Rhinolophus ferrumequinum: one gene and its partner. The protein of the gene in region 1 purifies or fractionates together with the protein of each later gene. This does not show direct contact. Links are inferred from orthologs where the notes say so. Each region holds a gene or a part of one and is shown on either strand. Other genes may lie near its edges.

Region 1 (6,471 bases):
GGCCCTGCTTGGTTTGCTGACCTTTGGCCTCTGCTGGACATCTTATTACCTGCTGGATCTCTCCTGCCATGCTGACTGCAGTGCCTCCCGGCCTCAGCCACATCCTTTTCCTCTTTGGTGTCCTCAATGCTGCTCTGGATTCTGTCCTCCATGGGGCATTTGCGCTTGGATGCTGAAGAGGGCACCAAGAACTTAACATAGACTCCTCCAGGGAAGGAGGGTCTGGAAGAACTCCCCGACGGGACATTCAGACCCTTAGACAGATGGAAGTACACACAAACGTGGCAGCAACAGCAGCAGAAATGAAAGAAACATTCCTATAACATCCATTTGCTCCGGACAGAGTATATAGGGACAGAATAATTATTCTTTAACATCATGAGAACATCTCACTGCTCTTCCTATTCTTACTTCCAAGGAAAATAAATACTAAGCAGTGTCTCTACTTAGACCCTTTGAGACTTGAGACTATGTGTAATGTAGATATTCACACAGAATTCAGTCACTGGGAGAAGTATCTTTACAGTGACCCATACTACCTTGTTGGAAATAGCACTTCAGAGCTTCCAATGTTAGAACAGAAAAGTAATTTTAAATGTAGAAAAAAAGAACGGGACATTTATTTGTAACTCACAAGAACCACCAAGCAATAAGGGAAGAGATTAAATACAAACAGTGAGTTCCAGCCCAGCCCTATGTCTCCAAGGCTGGAATCTCTGGAGAGAACACCCGGACAACACAGGACCTGTCAGCGACGCCTCCGGTCTGGACTCCTGCTGCGTCTTCGGCCACCTCTAGGGAAAATGAAGGGAGGGAGGTCCGTCAGAGGGACACAATACAATGTCCTTATTCCATTTCACTCATATTCCCTTCCCCAAGACGGTGTGTGCCCTCTCCACTTTACCTCCTCTTGCTCTTGGGTGGACCCCGAACAAAACACCAGTCCACGCTGATTGGCTGTCCCATCAAATCCTGGCCATTGAGTCCTTCCATAGCAGCCTGGGCCTCCTTGTATGTTTCATACTCAACTAGAGTATAGCCCTAGGGCAAGTGGAAAGGCAGGTATCAAAACCCTCCTATTCCACCGAGCTGTTTTCTACTCAAGTAGGACAGTCCATGTGTATAAACTTTAAACAATGAATATATATCAGAGGGTGCCAAAAAATATATATATACATCTTAAGAAAGGAAAAACTGTGTTAAAATTGTAATACTCAATATATACCGATAACAAAAGATGAATACAAGTCATGTGTATACATGTTTTTGGCACCCCGGTATATCCCTACTGTATTTACAATATGTTGTCTGTTTCTTTCCTAACAAAATCAATTTCCAATGATATTTTATTTCAGCTTTGCTCTTGGCCAACCACACCAAACATGGGAGGCAATGGAGTGTAACTTAGGATACCTTCAGGTATCCTGTACGCCTGTCCAGGTTGAGGTGGATATTTTTTATTTCCCCATATTCTGCAAATTTGTCATGGATGTCTTCTTCCGTGGCTTCTTCATGGACTCCAGTGACAAAGAGAATCCAGCCTTCAACAGCTGTTGGGGAAAGGAGGGAGGTTGTTTGAGCCCATGAGAGAAAAACTTCAAGCAAGATCACAGGAGTGTGAACTCCAGAGACTGGTTAAGCTATCTCTGACCCCTTTCCTACTGGTTTTACTTTATTAGTCCCTCATTCCTACACAGACACCTACAGGCTCCATGTTACTTACAGCGTTGTGGTCCAGGTTCATCGCCATCCTGCTCCACGCTGTCATAATCCTCACGCATCCGCGCTCGAGACCCCTCTTCTAATAAGAAACATACACGAGATCACCGGAAATCCCTTCTCCCACCGTTCCCCAGGAATCAGAATGGGGACTCCAAAACCCGTAGCTCTAGCCGTTCTAGACCCCCCTTTCCCCACAAACACTCACCGGAGCCAAAGCCGCGGCCCTTCCGTTTCTTCGCTTTTTCCTTCAGTTTGTGGATGCTCTCTGCGCCCCATAAGTAAAGAGTAAGTAACAAAAACAACACAATAGTCTCTCTCCCAAGACAACATCTGAAAGCGGACCCCCATCGCCTCCCATCCCAGTCCCTTCCCAGTCCCGCCCCCAGGTTCTGCCCCGAAGGGGGCGGAGTCTCCACTCCAACCGAAACCCGGTTCCCCGCCTCCCACCCTCCCTGCCGGGAAGAATGGAAATTGTTTTCCTAGTACGCCCTTCTGTCGCACCTTCCCCGCTTCCCGCAGCCGCCTCCACCGTCCTCACCGTCCCCATCCTCATCCATGGCGAAATCTTCGCCCCCGGCCTCGTGAAGATCCAGCACATCCGCCATCTTGCCTTCGTTCTAATTCTCGTCTGTGCCGCTCAGGAACTAAGCATCTCGGGAAACTGTCGCGGAGGGGAAAGGTCGCCAGTCAAGATAACCAATCAAAAGCCTACTCTAAGTCCCGCCCATCGGTGCGGTGAAAATACGTCCTGGAGGCGGGCTTAGTCCGGGAAGAGCCGGAAGTGTTCCTGTAGCCATTTTGAGCAGGTCGTGAGCTGGAAACAGTGTTGCCGTGAGAGACAAGCTAGGGGTAGGCGGAGATGGTGGCTTCCTCCTATTTAAGGCTGCCTTGGAGAAAAACTACTGACGATGGAGCTCAGCCTAGTTTCTTTAGTAGATGGCTGCCTTCCGTCTGTTTTCACCCCATACTAGGAAATGGAAGTTGATAAAAGTTTTTTCTCTCAAAACTTCCAGGCCTGTACCCTGTTCCTGGGAGCAGCCGGATCTGTGATGGAAGCATTGTTAAAAAATGGTTCAGTCAGCAATGCTGGCTCCAAGAGCTGCTTCTGGAACACACAGTGACGGCACCGAATTTCTCTCTTAAAGAAACTAACAAACCTAATTGTCTTGAAATTGGATTGGTGAAAAAAGATAAACCAACTTTTTCTTTTTTTAAAAAAAAGCTAAACTCCCAAACTCTTCCCACCACCTCTGGGAATTAAAGGAAAAAAAAAAAAGGCATGGCTTCAAACAAAATAGGAGCTTTAGCTTTTTTGAGAGCATGCGGGTATTTCATGTTTAAAAACCTAGGAGAAGAGGCAAAACCCATATTGTCCCCAAATTCTGGAACCCTGACACAGGCCTTAAACAATAGTAGACTGCAGATTCCCTTATTAATTTTTTAATCAAACAGTTATGCATGCCTGTATATGCGTGTGTCTAATATTAGAGGAGGTGCTGGCAATACAAGGAAAAATAATTGCATTATCAACAATCATAATTACATTTGTAAGTGATAACTGCTATCACAAAGGACTCCGGCAGTACAAAGAAAGTGCCTAATAGGACTGGGGGTAAGGGAAGTCCATGTAAGGGACAGCTTCGGTTTGAACAGGGCCTTTAAGATTTGGTAGTTTTCCAGTCAATGTAGTTGTATTGAGACCAGGAGACACTAATCTATTCTCCACAGTAGGTAGCGGGATCTTCTTCAAAATTAGTTGGTCACATCCCCCTATTAAAAACCCTTCCTTGAATTATTTTTGCACTTTGAATAAAGTTCAAACTCACAGCCTGCCCTGCCTATGTCTCCAACCTCTTCCATCACCATTCTTCCCTCTCATGCATTACGCTCTCCCTACACTTGCCCTCAACTCGGTTGTATTGCACTGTTTCCCATCGCAGGACTTTATGCAGCTTTCTGTTTCTGATGGTCTTACTCCAGCTCTTCACATGGCTAGTTCAACCCCATCCTTTGTGTCTCCCTAAAATACTATGGTCACCCAAAGGGGTCTTCTCTATCCTATCCTTCACTCTGTTTATGCCTTCATGGAACTTAAATCAGAATCCTTAATTACCTTGTTTACTTTCTAATTTGTTTAATGTGTGTTTTTCCCATTAGAATGTAATCCTTATGTCAAGAGACTCATATTTACAACTGTATTCGCAAAGTTTAGAACAGTGCCTGGCTCAAAGTAGACATTTGGTACTTACTGAATTAATGATTATCAGAATAGCAAGAAATTCTGTATGCTTGATGCTGTGTGACTAGGAAATAAAGCTGGAAATACAGTTTAAGGCCAATGCTGAAGATTCTGGAACTTATCCTGAAGGAAATAAATTTCCCTACTTCAAGTATTTGCATATTCATTATTTTTAACATTTGTAAATGGGCCTTATTCTATTTTTATTAGCATTTTTCCTTAAATAGACTGACTTTTTAAACAAATTTACACTAAATTTAGATATCACTATCATATGTGGAAAACCTATGTTTTTTACTACAAATTCAGATAAAAACGTAACTAGTAAAGATGAAAAATGTTTGCCCATCTACCACCCAAAGTCATCACAGGTAATAGTAAGGGTTCATATATAAAACTTTGGGAAATACTGCTAAAGGTGAAGATAGCTAAGTGATTATTTAAGCAAAGGAGTGGTACAGTCGTAAGTATTTTAGAAAGAAATCTGACAGTAATGTGGAGGATGTTAAAAATGAAGGCAGAGACTAGTTAGGAAACTATTGCAGTGGTCCAGCCCAGAGATGATAAAGGACTGAATTAAGGCAATAAATATAGACAAAACAGATTAGAATGTTTACACAGGAGGTAAATGCAACAGTAAGTGGCTTATTAGATGATGCTAGGGAAGAGTTAAAGATGGATCTGGGGTTCTAGCTTAGGTAACTGGGTAGATAATAATTCCAATAACAGATCTGGGGAATCAGGAGCATGTATGGAGAATTGGATTTTATTTTGGATATGTGAGTTCACAGAGCTTCTGTTATATTCAGGTGGTGATGTTCAATATATGGAAATATAGATGTTAAGACTCAAAATAGGTTGGGGTGGAAGAAATAGATTTGAGAGTCATGTATGATACAGTTTAGACCACCATGATGGGTGAGATTGCCAGTGATATTGTGTAGAGCTCAAGGAGAAAGGATTAAAGACAAAATCTAGGCTCCTCAAATGTCTGGAAATGGAGAGGCAAAATGTCTTCCCCCAGCAGTACAATTTTATTTCTACCACCCAAAAAAATACTAATAAAAATTCTTTTTTAGTATACCTATATGTAAGAGAAAGGGTTATTTTCGAGCTCCTCTGATACATAGGTCTCAAGAAAGAGTCAATCTGGCTCACTAGACAAAAATCTATTTTTAATTGTATAAAATTATACATATAAAATACATAGAAAGTACTAAAAAGATAAGTAAAATCTTTAACAGCAAAAGTGTACAGATCAGGGAACAATTTTTCTCAAGTCCTTTGAGATCTTACTTGTTGGTATTCTAGAAAAACAAATCCAGGAAGTACGAGGACAAGTTCTTCCCACAACTCACACCCCTTAACACTTCCCCAAGAAAGGAGCATAGGAGAAATGAGGGTTTGTGATTTCCAGATTATAAATATCAATAAAAACTGAATAGACACACCTATTTTTAAATGTAGGAGCCTCTGCTCCAACCCTACATGTGCTTCATGGAACAGAGAGAAGGGGTGTGGAGAATTCAAGGAAGTCCCTTTCAAGAACTAGTAACAATTGTTGCTAGAGTCCTTACCTCTGATCCCATATGTACTGGTCACCAAGATGATTTCAAACGCAAGAAAGCTGACTTCCATCTTGTCCCTGTCTGATCCAAAAGAACAAACTGTGGCCTGTTTCCTAACCTATTTCTGAAAGCAAAGTGTATAACTGTTAAATGGGAAGTCTAATTGTAAGCACATTATACTTCCCAAGTTCAGTTTAGAAAGTGCATTGAGCTGAACTATAGTATAAAGGAGACTACAGAAACAAGGGGGAATTATACCTTAGAAGACCTACAAAAAATACTCCCAAAGGTGAATGCTTTAGCTGTTCTCCAGATCCCATCTCTCCTATTCCACCCAGGAGAGAGGTGGGCGGAGAGAACGGTATTAAAAAGCAATCCCTGATAGCTGATTATTGATTCTCTTTCCCTTCCTGCAGTCTCCCAAGGTTCCAATTAGGAAGTGCCATAATGCCAAAGTCTTCTCTGATTTTCCTGATCTACTCATGCTTTAATAGTGTGGAAGAAGAGGAGAGAAAACAAATGTGAATCTAAGGTAGTAGACAGCAGCAACTTCATGGCAGAGAGAGGAACATGGTCCTCTCCAAATAGGATAGGTCATTTTTCCAAAGAACAAAATAATGGGAGGAGAGAGAAGAGGGAAATAGGTTTTACCTTTTATCAATCTCTGCAGGCAGGAAGGTCTAAATACAGGGCTTAACTAAGCTGTGTGAGCAGGGGAGGAAGAGGAGGGAAAAGTGAAATACTGAAAACAAGCAACTTCAACCCTGACCCCTTCTGTAGTGTAGAGTACGTCCAGGCATCTGGACTACCGGTATGGTATCTCTGCCCCAGATGCAATTTAGGTGATAATCCCCTACAGATTGTGTTTATACTTCCTCTTGTTCCTGGGCACTTTCTCAGGAATACTTTAAAAACAAGAAACCGTATCTCCACTTCCTTCCA
Region 2 (7,757 bases), on another chromosome or scaffold:
ATTTCACAGATGAGAACACTGAGGCTCAGAGAAACTAGATACTTGCAGGGAGTGCAGTTAGTTAAAAGGTGGGACTAGGATTCCAATCTGAGTCACTCTGTTAGTCCAGTATCTGTCCTCCTTTAACTGTACCAGTTTTCCTAAACTTTAGTCATTTGAAAATCATCTTTATGTGTTTTTTTTAACCATATCTGTATTTACCTGTTAGTGGTATTTTTTTGTTGAATGGACTGACATTTTTTACTTAAATGTATTTATTCAAAAGGAAAGTTTATTTGGCTACCATAAATGAGAACTCATGATATTGAAGATAAAAAGAATAATAATGATAATAAAGAATGATACAAACATAGTGAAAATCACTAAATCACTGATGAACTGTCTGTCACCTGTTGAAGGTCTAACCTGAGGTTGGCTCTCTCTGTTAATGAAAAGATTTGGAAGTAAGAAGTTTTGTCAGAGTCATCTAACTACAAAGCTGTAAAAGGGAATTAAAAAAGATACAACTTGAGAGGGGCGGTGTGGGGTCTGGGTGTTAGTGATGGAAGGGAGTACAAGGGGCTTCTAGGGTCTGGAATATTCTGTTTCTTTATCTGGTGTTAAGTTACATGGGCGTGTTCATTTGTGAAAATTCATGAGTTATATATCCATTATATTCACTCTTTTTTATATCTCAATACAATTTACTTTAAAAAGTTTTATGAAATAAGTTTTATTGATGTGCAAAATACAATAAGGAAATAGTATGTTGTTAATGGTATGTGTTTCTTTTTAGACTACGGTGGTGCTAGTAGAGGCATATTTTAAATCTATTTTACAGGAATTTAATGATCTGCCTACTTAGAAATAACTTGCAGAAATAAAGGTCTGCACTAATTTCTCGGTACATGTGGGAAATAAGATGGAAGTGGAGATGGCTTCTATTACCTGTAATAATTTGCCAGCAAGTGACAATGTCTCTCAGCTTTATTATTGGGGAAGGGAAACAGGACTTTATTGGGGAACAGTGTGTATCTCCAGGACTTTTCCAAGTCAAATTGTTGTCCTTTCAATCTTATTTGTGGAGGGCACAGCTCAGCTCCAGGTCCAGTTGCCACTGTTAGTTGCAGGGGGCACAGCCCACCATCCCTTGCGGGAGTTGAACCAGCAACCTTGTGGTTGAGAGCCAGCGCTCCAACCAACTGAGCCATCTGGCCACCCAGGAGCTGAGCAGCACCTCACTGACTTCATTCTAGTTGAGGAGGGCATAGCTTGCTGGCTCCTCAATGTGGGAATTGAACTGGCAGCCCCATTGCCTGGAGCTCGCGCTCTAACCAACTGAGCCACCTGTCCGACCCTGTCAGCTTCTTAATGTTGGTAAACAGCTGCTCACCTGAGATCTGCAGTAAAGAACTCAAAGTAATCGTGTGCAGGCAGCGGGTGTAGCTGCTCTTCCAGCTGCTCTTTGGTGAGGCTGGGAGGAAGGCGCCGGATCACCACCTGGGGAAAGGAGGCTGGCTGGGTTTTGTTTCACTCTTACTGTATTAACCTTCAATTATTTCAATGCTTGGTGACCTATGTGTATGCTCAAAGGAAAATATAAACCTTCAAAAGCACACATTTTAGGAACAGTTAAGGAACACATATATGGACAACATGGCTGTCAAAAGGTTAATGGGAGTTGAATAATTGAGAAGGGATCAGTGAGGTCAGAAAAGGCTGAGCTTAACAGTTCTTTTTCATGCAATCATGTCATTACTACCAAACAACACTTCACGTGACACGTACTGTCTGTGCCCCCAGTGAAAAATAACAGCTCCTGCATTCTCTCTGCATGATAACCCACAGTAGAAGGTAAGATCTACGCAGGGAATGTATGTATGTTGGAATTTTTGTTACCAACAGTAGCAAACCAACGGTGTATTTGCTGGTTCTGCCAAGAGGAACTCCGCCTGCACTGGACACCTTTCGCCTCCGGTCCACAGTGTCCACATCGCGGGTCCTCACCCACCGCGCCACCAAGCTTTCCAGGCTCTCTCTCTTGGCTTCACTATACTGGAAAGGACCTTTGGCGAGCCGCCGTTCCCCTTTCGTGCCCCCTCAGGCCGTGGTCCAAAGCACTGTGGACAGCTACTGCCCCTCGCTGGTGAGCCCAGTGTCTCAGCTCTACACGCTGAAAAGACTTTTCTTCCTTCCCAATCCATAAAGAACTAACGTTTCAGAGGGTGCTGAAAACTCTTGTCTCAGGCGGTAAGAGTTGCTCGCCGCAGCGCTGCCCGGCCGCTGTCCGCGGTGCTGATTCCCCCGCTAGCGGCCCCGCCCCGACTCCGCCCAGCAGCCCAGCTCTGGACACCACCCACCCACCCACGGAACGCACCACCCTTGGTCACCCCCCTTGGTCTCCCCCCCTCCACTGCCACTCCACCCCTTGGCCTCGCCCACTCCCTCTCTCTCCTGATCACCACCCCGCACTTCCACTCGCCCCGCCTCCCCCTCTCGGTCTGGACCAATCTCTTCTCCAGACGTTTGCTCGTACCACCCCGTCCTCGTCCCGCCTCGGCTCGCGGAAATCCCTCCTTCTCTGGCGAGGTTTGCCGGCACCTCTCAGCCCACCCCACTCCTGCCCTCGCATCCCCGGGTCCTGCCTAGGACTCAGCTCCTCTCCTCCGGGGTTTCACGCACAACCCGTTCTCGCTCCGCTCTATCCTGCGAAGCACGTTCCTCCTTTCGCGAAGTTTGCTTGCATCGCCCCGTCCTCACCCCGCCCCCGCTCCTTGTCCCACACCCACCTTGCTCAGGACTGTCCTCTTCTCGCGAGGTTTGCCTGTGCTGCTCCCACAGCTGGAGGACAAAGCCAGCGGCGATGCTGGCTCTCGCCGCGGCGACTCTCGGCGGAACTGAACTTCCGCAGCCGACGGCTTCTCCCTCCAGCTCTGGCCCCGCGCAGCAACGGCCGCCCCGGGGCCTCCGGCACACTCCCTTTCCGAGCGCATTCCGCTCCCGCCGCAGAGTCGCCGCCGCCTCCCGCCCCGGCCTAAACTTCGCGAGAACTGGAATGCCGCCGCCCCCACTGCCACCCCCACCCCCTGGTTCAGATGCCGCCCGCCCCTCCCTCCTTCCCCCTGCCACGGTCCCTGTTACCCACGTCCGGTTCTGGCCCACGACCTCCGAGCCCGCCCCTCTCACGGGGTTGGAGACACCCGGGAAACAGGGGCTGTCGGACTGGGCCCGGATCCCAAGCCTGGAGTCTGGTGTCCCGGTACACGGGGTGCCCCTGGACCCGCACCTCCGACCAGCGCTCTATTGTGTGGTCAACCGAAGCAGCGGTCTGGGTGGTTGAGATGTCGAGACTGCCCGCACTCTCCTGCAGCCCGGACTTCGTAGAGTCTTGGGACGAAGGAGGGTTCCAAGGCCTTGGAGATCAGCGGGAAATTCAGCACCAGAGGACGTTTGGCTCCAGAAGGAGCCTTTAATAAAACTCTGAAGGGCTGAAACTTTCCCACGGAGGAGAGCTGGTCCTTTAGCTAAACATTCCTGAGAATTACATTCACGCGCTTCATAAACTATTTACAGCTATTCTTTTCCAAAGGAGTCTGAAAGTTTCAACAGAATAGTAATTGTACTCAAGAAAAATCAACCAATTGACAAACAGCACAAATGGCTACATGGCTTTGCTATTCGGAATAGAATAAATGTACCAGAATTGAGAGCAGAAATTGGCCAGCGTGGAAGGTTCAAGCGCTCAGGTGTCAACGCTGACTACGCATCACAGGCTGGGTTAGAGTAACTAATAGACCCACGGCACCCACAAAACAGGGCCTTCAGAAGGTTTTCCAATACGATTTTTACTCAGCTTTTTGGGGCTCTCAATGGAACAGCAACCAAGCCAGATTTACATTTGTATACTTTTCTTTTACAAACATGCAGGCAGTGACACTTGGTTAGAATAACATAGATGAAAGTTTTTCGTTTTTAAATGCTATATTTTATACTTTCTCACTTTTCTTTATGCATGTTGGCCACATTTTATTCACAGCACCTTTATCCCAAGAATTTCAAGTAGAAATCAAAAAAGAAACCAGAAAATGGAGTAAGTGAGGCATTAAGAGATCAAGGGAGTCACTCCACCCAACAAAAGCAGAATATACTTCTCAAGCAAATAGGGCACTTTCTGCAGGATGGAGCACAAATTAGGCCACAAGATAAGTCTTAATACACTTAGAAAGATTGAAATCACACCAAGTATCCTTTCCAACCACAATGGAATGAAACGAAAACTCACAAAATGTGGAAATTAAACAACACACTCAAACGGCCAATGGGTACAAAATCATGAGAAAAATTAGAAAATAAGACAAATGAAAATGAAAACACAACATACCAAAACTTATAGGTTGAAGCAAAAACAGTGCTCAGAAGGAAATTTACAGCTGTAAAGGCCTATGTTAAAAAAAAAAAAAATCTTAATTCAATAACCTAACTGCATACCTTATAGGAGCTAGAAAAATAACACCAGAACTTAACCCAAAGGTAGCAGAAGGAAGGAAATAATAAAGATTAGAGTGGAAATGAAAAAAAGACTAGAAAATTAACAGAGAAAGTCAACAAAATCAAAAGTTGGTTCTTTGAAAAGGTATACAAAATTAACAAACCTTTAGCCAGATTGACTAAGAAAAGTAAAGAAGAGACAAGAGACTCAAATTACTAAAATCATAGAAGGGAAATTGTTACTGACTTTAGAAAAATAAAAAGGATTATAACAGGATAGTATGAACAACTATACACCAACAAATTGAATAACCTAAATAAAATGGACAAACTCCTAGATACATACAAATTACCAAAACTGACTCAAGAAGAAATAGCTATAACAAGTAAGGAGGTAGTATTAGTAATCAAAAACCTCCAAACATATATTAGAAAGGCCCAGGACAAGATGACCTCAGTGGTGAAGTTTACCAAACATTTAAAGAATTACCACCAATTCTCAAACATTTCTAAACAATTGAAAAGGAGGGACACTGCCTAATTCATTCTATGAGGCCAGTATTACCCCGATACCAAAGCCAAAGATACTACAAGAAAACTACAGACCAATATCTCTAATGAATATAAACATCTCAACAAAATATTAGCAAATTAAATTCAGCATTATATTAAAAGGATCATACACCATGACCATGTAGGATTTATCCCAGAATTGTAAGGGTGGTTCAATACACAAAAAGTCAATGTAATATACAACATTAATAGAATGAAGGGAAAAAAACCTGCAAGATGTTATATAAATGAACCAAAGATGGCTCTTGTATACTGCTCTCTATGTTGTTTACTTCACAGCGGGCTGGAATGGTTAGCTCCAGTCCACCAGCACCAAATCAAATTTTTACACTTGCAATTATTTTAAATATAGCCCAAACAATATATCTTTAGCCAATTAGAGCCTGCCTGTTCTGCATACCTGGCAATACTACACACAGCATCCACTAGCATAAATAAGAAAAACCCCAGGCTATAGAAGACTCCAAGCTGCTGCTGCACTGAGGATTTCTCTAACGCAGAGACTGCCATGTTGCTACTACTACATCACCAAGACATGTGAACCTCCTCTGTGATTCCCCTCCCCCAGGAGTTCCCTTGCCGTGGTCCCCTTCTGGGTGGAGGTCCCACACTGTTGTCTTTGGAAGGGGCTACCCCCTCCTACAACTTGTCAAAGCACAGCTTAAAGAAAGCTACCCCAAACAAAATGTGCTACTGCCACCTCATGGTCATGTCTTTTCCTTGAACAGACCTGAAAATCTAGAACTCATTACACCTGACCATCTCAACTGATCAAAAACAAAGCATATGTGCTACTGCCACCTCATGGTCATGTCTTTTCCTTGAACAGACCTGAAAATCTAGAACTCATTACACCTGACCATCTCAACTGATCAAAAACAAAGCATTTGATAAAATCTGCACCCTTTCCTGATTAAAAACAAACAAACAAACAAACAAAACGCCACCACACACTCAGTATATTATGAAGAAAGGGAACTTTTCTAACACCACAAAGGGTATCTGAAAAACTCACAGCTATCGTCATACTCAATGGTGAAAACTGAAAGCTTTCTCTATATGATCAGGAATTAGACGAGAATGCCTACTTTTGCCACTTCTATTCAAAACAATAGTGGAATCCTAGCCAGAGCAGTTACGCAAAGAAAAGAAATGAAATGAATCCAAATTGGAAGGAAGAAATAAAACTCTCTCTATTCGTAGATGACATGATCCTATTATTGAGAAAACTCTAAATAATACAACGTACACACACACACACACACACACACACACACACAAACACACGCACAATGTTAAAGCTAATAAATACATTCAGGATACAAAGTCAATATACAAAAATCAGTTGTATTTCTATTCACTAGGAATGAACAATCCAAAAAGGAAACTAAAAAAACAATTCTATTTACAATAATATCCAAAAGAATACTGAGGAATAAATTTAACCAAGGAGGTGAAAGACTTGTAAATGAAAACTACAAAACAATGAAAGAAATTAAAGACATAAATAAATGGAAAGACATCCTGTTCATGGATTAGACGACATAATATTAAGTCATAAAAATTCAGTAAAATCCCTATCAAAATCCCAATGGCTTCCCCCTCCCCCAGAAATGGAAAAAACTACCCTAAAATTCATATGAAAATTCAAGGGACTCACAATATCCAAAACAATCTTGTAAAAGATTACGTTTGGAGGACTCACACTTCCCAATTTCAAAACTTTCTACAAAGTTACAGCAATCAAAACAGTGTGATACTAACATAAAGGATATACATATGGACCAATGGAATAGAATTCAGAGCCCAGAAATAAACTCTCTTATTTTTTGACATGGGTGCCAAGATTATTCAACTGGGAAAGGACAGTCTCTTCAAGAAATGGTGCTGGGAAAACTGAATATCCACATGCAAAAGAATGAAGTTGGACCTTTAACTTACATTTACAAAAATTAACTCAAAATGGATCAAAGACCGACAACTAAGAGCTAAAATTATTTTTTTAAAAATCTTATAAGAAAACATAAGTAAAAATCTGCATAACCTTGGCTTTGGCAATAGTTACATAAATATGACACCGAAAGCAGTCAACAAAAGAAAAACTAGATAAACTGGACTTCATTAAATTAAAACCTTTTGTGTATGAAAGGACACTATCAAGAGAGTGAATAGACAACCCAAAGAATGGGAGAAAATATGTGTAAAACATGTATCTGGTAAGGGTTTAACATCCAAAATCTGTAAAAGAACGCCTACAACTCAACCACAGAAAGATAGCCCAATTTCAAAATGGGCAAAAGACTTGAATAGACATTTGTCCAAAAAGATAAATAAATGATAATAAGCACAGAATAAAATTAAAAAGAACAGGAAAAAGCTTTGGTAAGGGTGCAGAGAAATTGAAACCCTTGTGCTTGGTGGTGGGAAATGTAAAATGGTGCAGCCACATGAATAAAGTTTGCCAGTTTCTCAAAGAGTTAAGCACAGAATTATCACATGACAAAACAATTCCACTCCTAGGTATATACCCAAAGAACTCAAAACAGGGACACAGATATTTATACACCCATGTTCCTAGCAGGATTATTCACAATAACCAAAAGGTGGAAACAACTCAAGTGTCCATCAACAGATGAATATGTAATATACATATAATGGAATATTATTCAGCCATAAAAAGAGAATGAAGTTCTGATAAAAGCTATAATATGGATAAA

The links. The genes of interacting proteins can lie anywhere in the genome.
Region 2: the proteins of RBM8A (region 1) and UPF3A purify together in Homo sapiens (co-immunoprecipitation; 4 studies listed by BioGRID and IntAct, with this or other methods). This does not show direct contact. The link is inferred for Rhinolophus ferrumequinum from reciprocal best matches to the Homo sapiens genes RBM8A and UPF3A.

The regions. Positions count from the first base shown.
Region 1 is NC_046305.1:50,159,078-50,165,548, forward strand, and holds RBM8A (RNA-binding protein 8A), read right to left. Parts: upstream 2,407-6,471; 5' UTR 2,328-2,406; coding exon 2,261-2,327; intron 1,988-2,260; coding exon 1,928-1,987; intron 1,802-1,927; coding exon 1,724-1,801; intron 1,551-1,723; coding exon 1,414-1,550; intron 1,042-1,413; coding exon 905-1,041; intron 795-904; coding exon 749-794; 3' UTR 590-748; downstream 1-589.
Region 2 is NC_046287.1:56,480,498-56,488,254, reverse strand, and holds the start of UPF3A (regulator of nonsense transcripts 3A), read right to left. Parts: upstream 3,026-7,757; 5' UTR 2,973-3,025; coding exon 2,769-2,972; intron 1,480-2,768; coding exon 1,373-1,479; intron 1-1,372. UniProt on the Homo sapiens protein: Involved in nonsense-mediated decay (NMD) of mRNAs containing premature stop codons by associating with the nuclear exon junction complex (EJC) and serving as link between the EJC core and NMD machinery.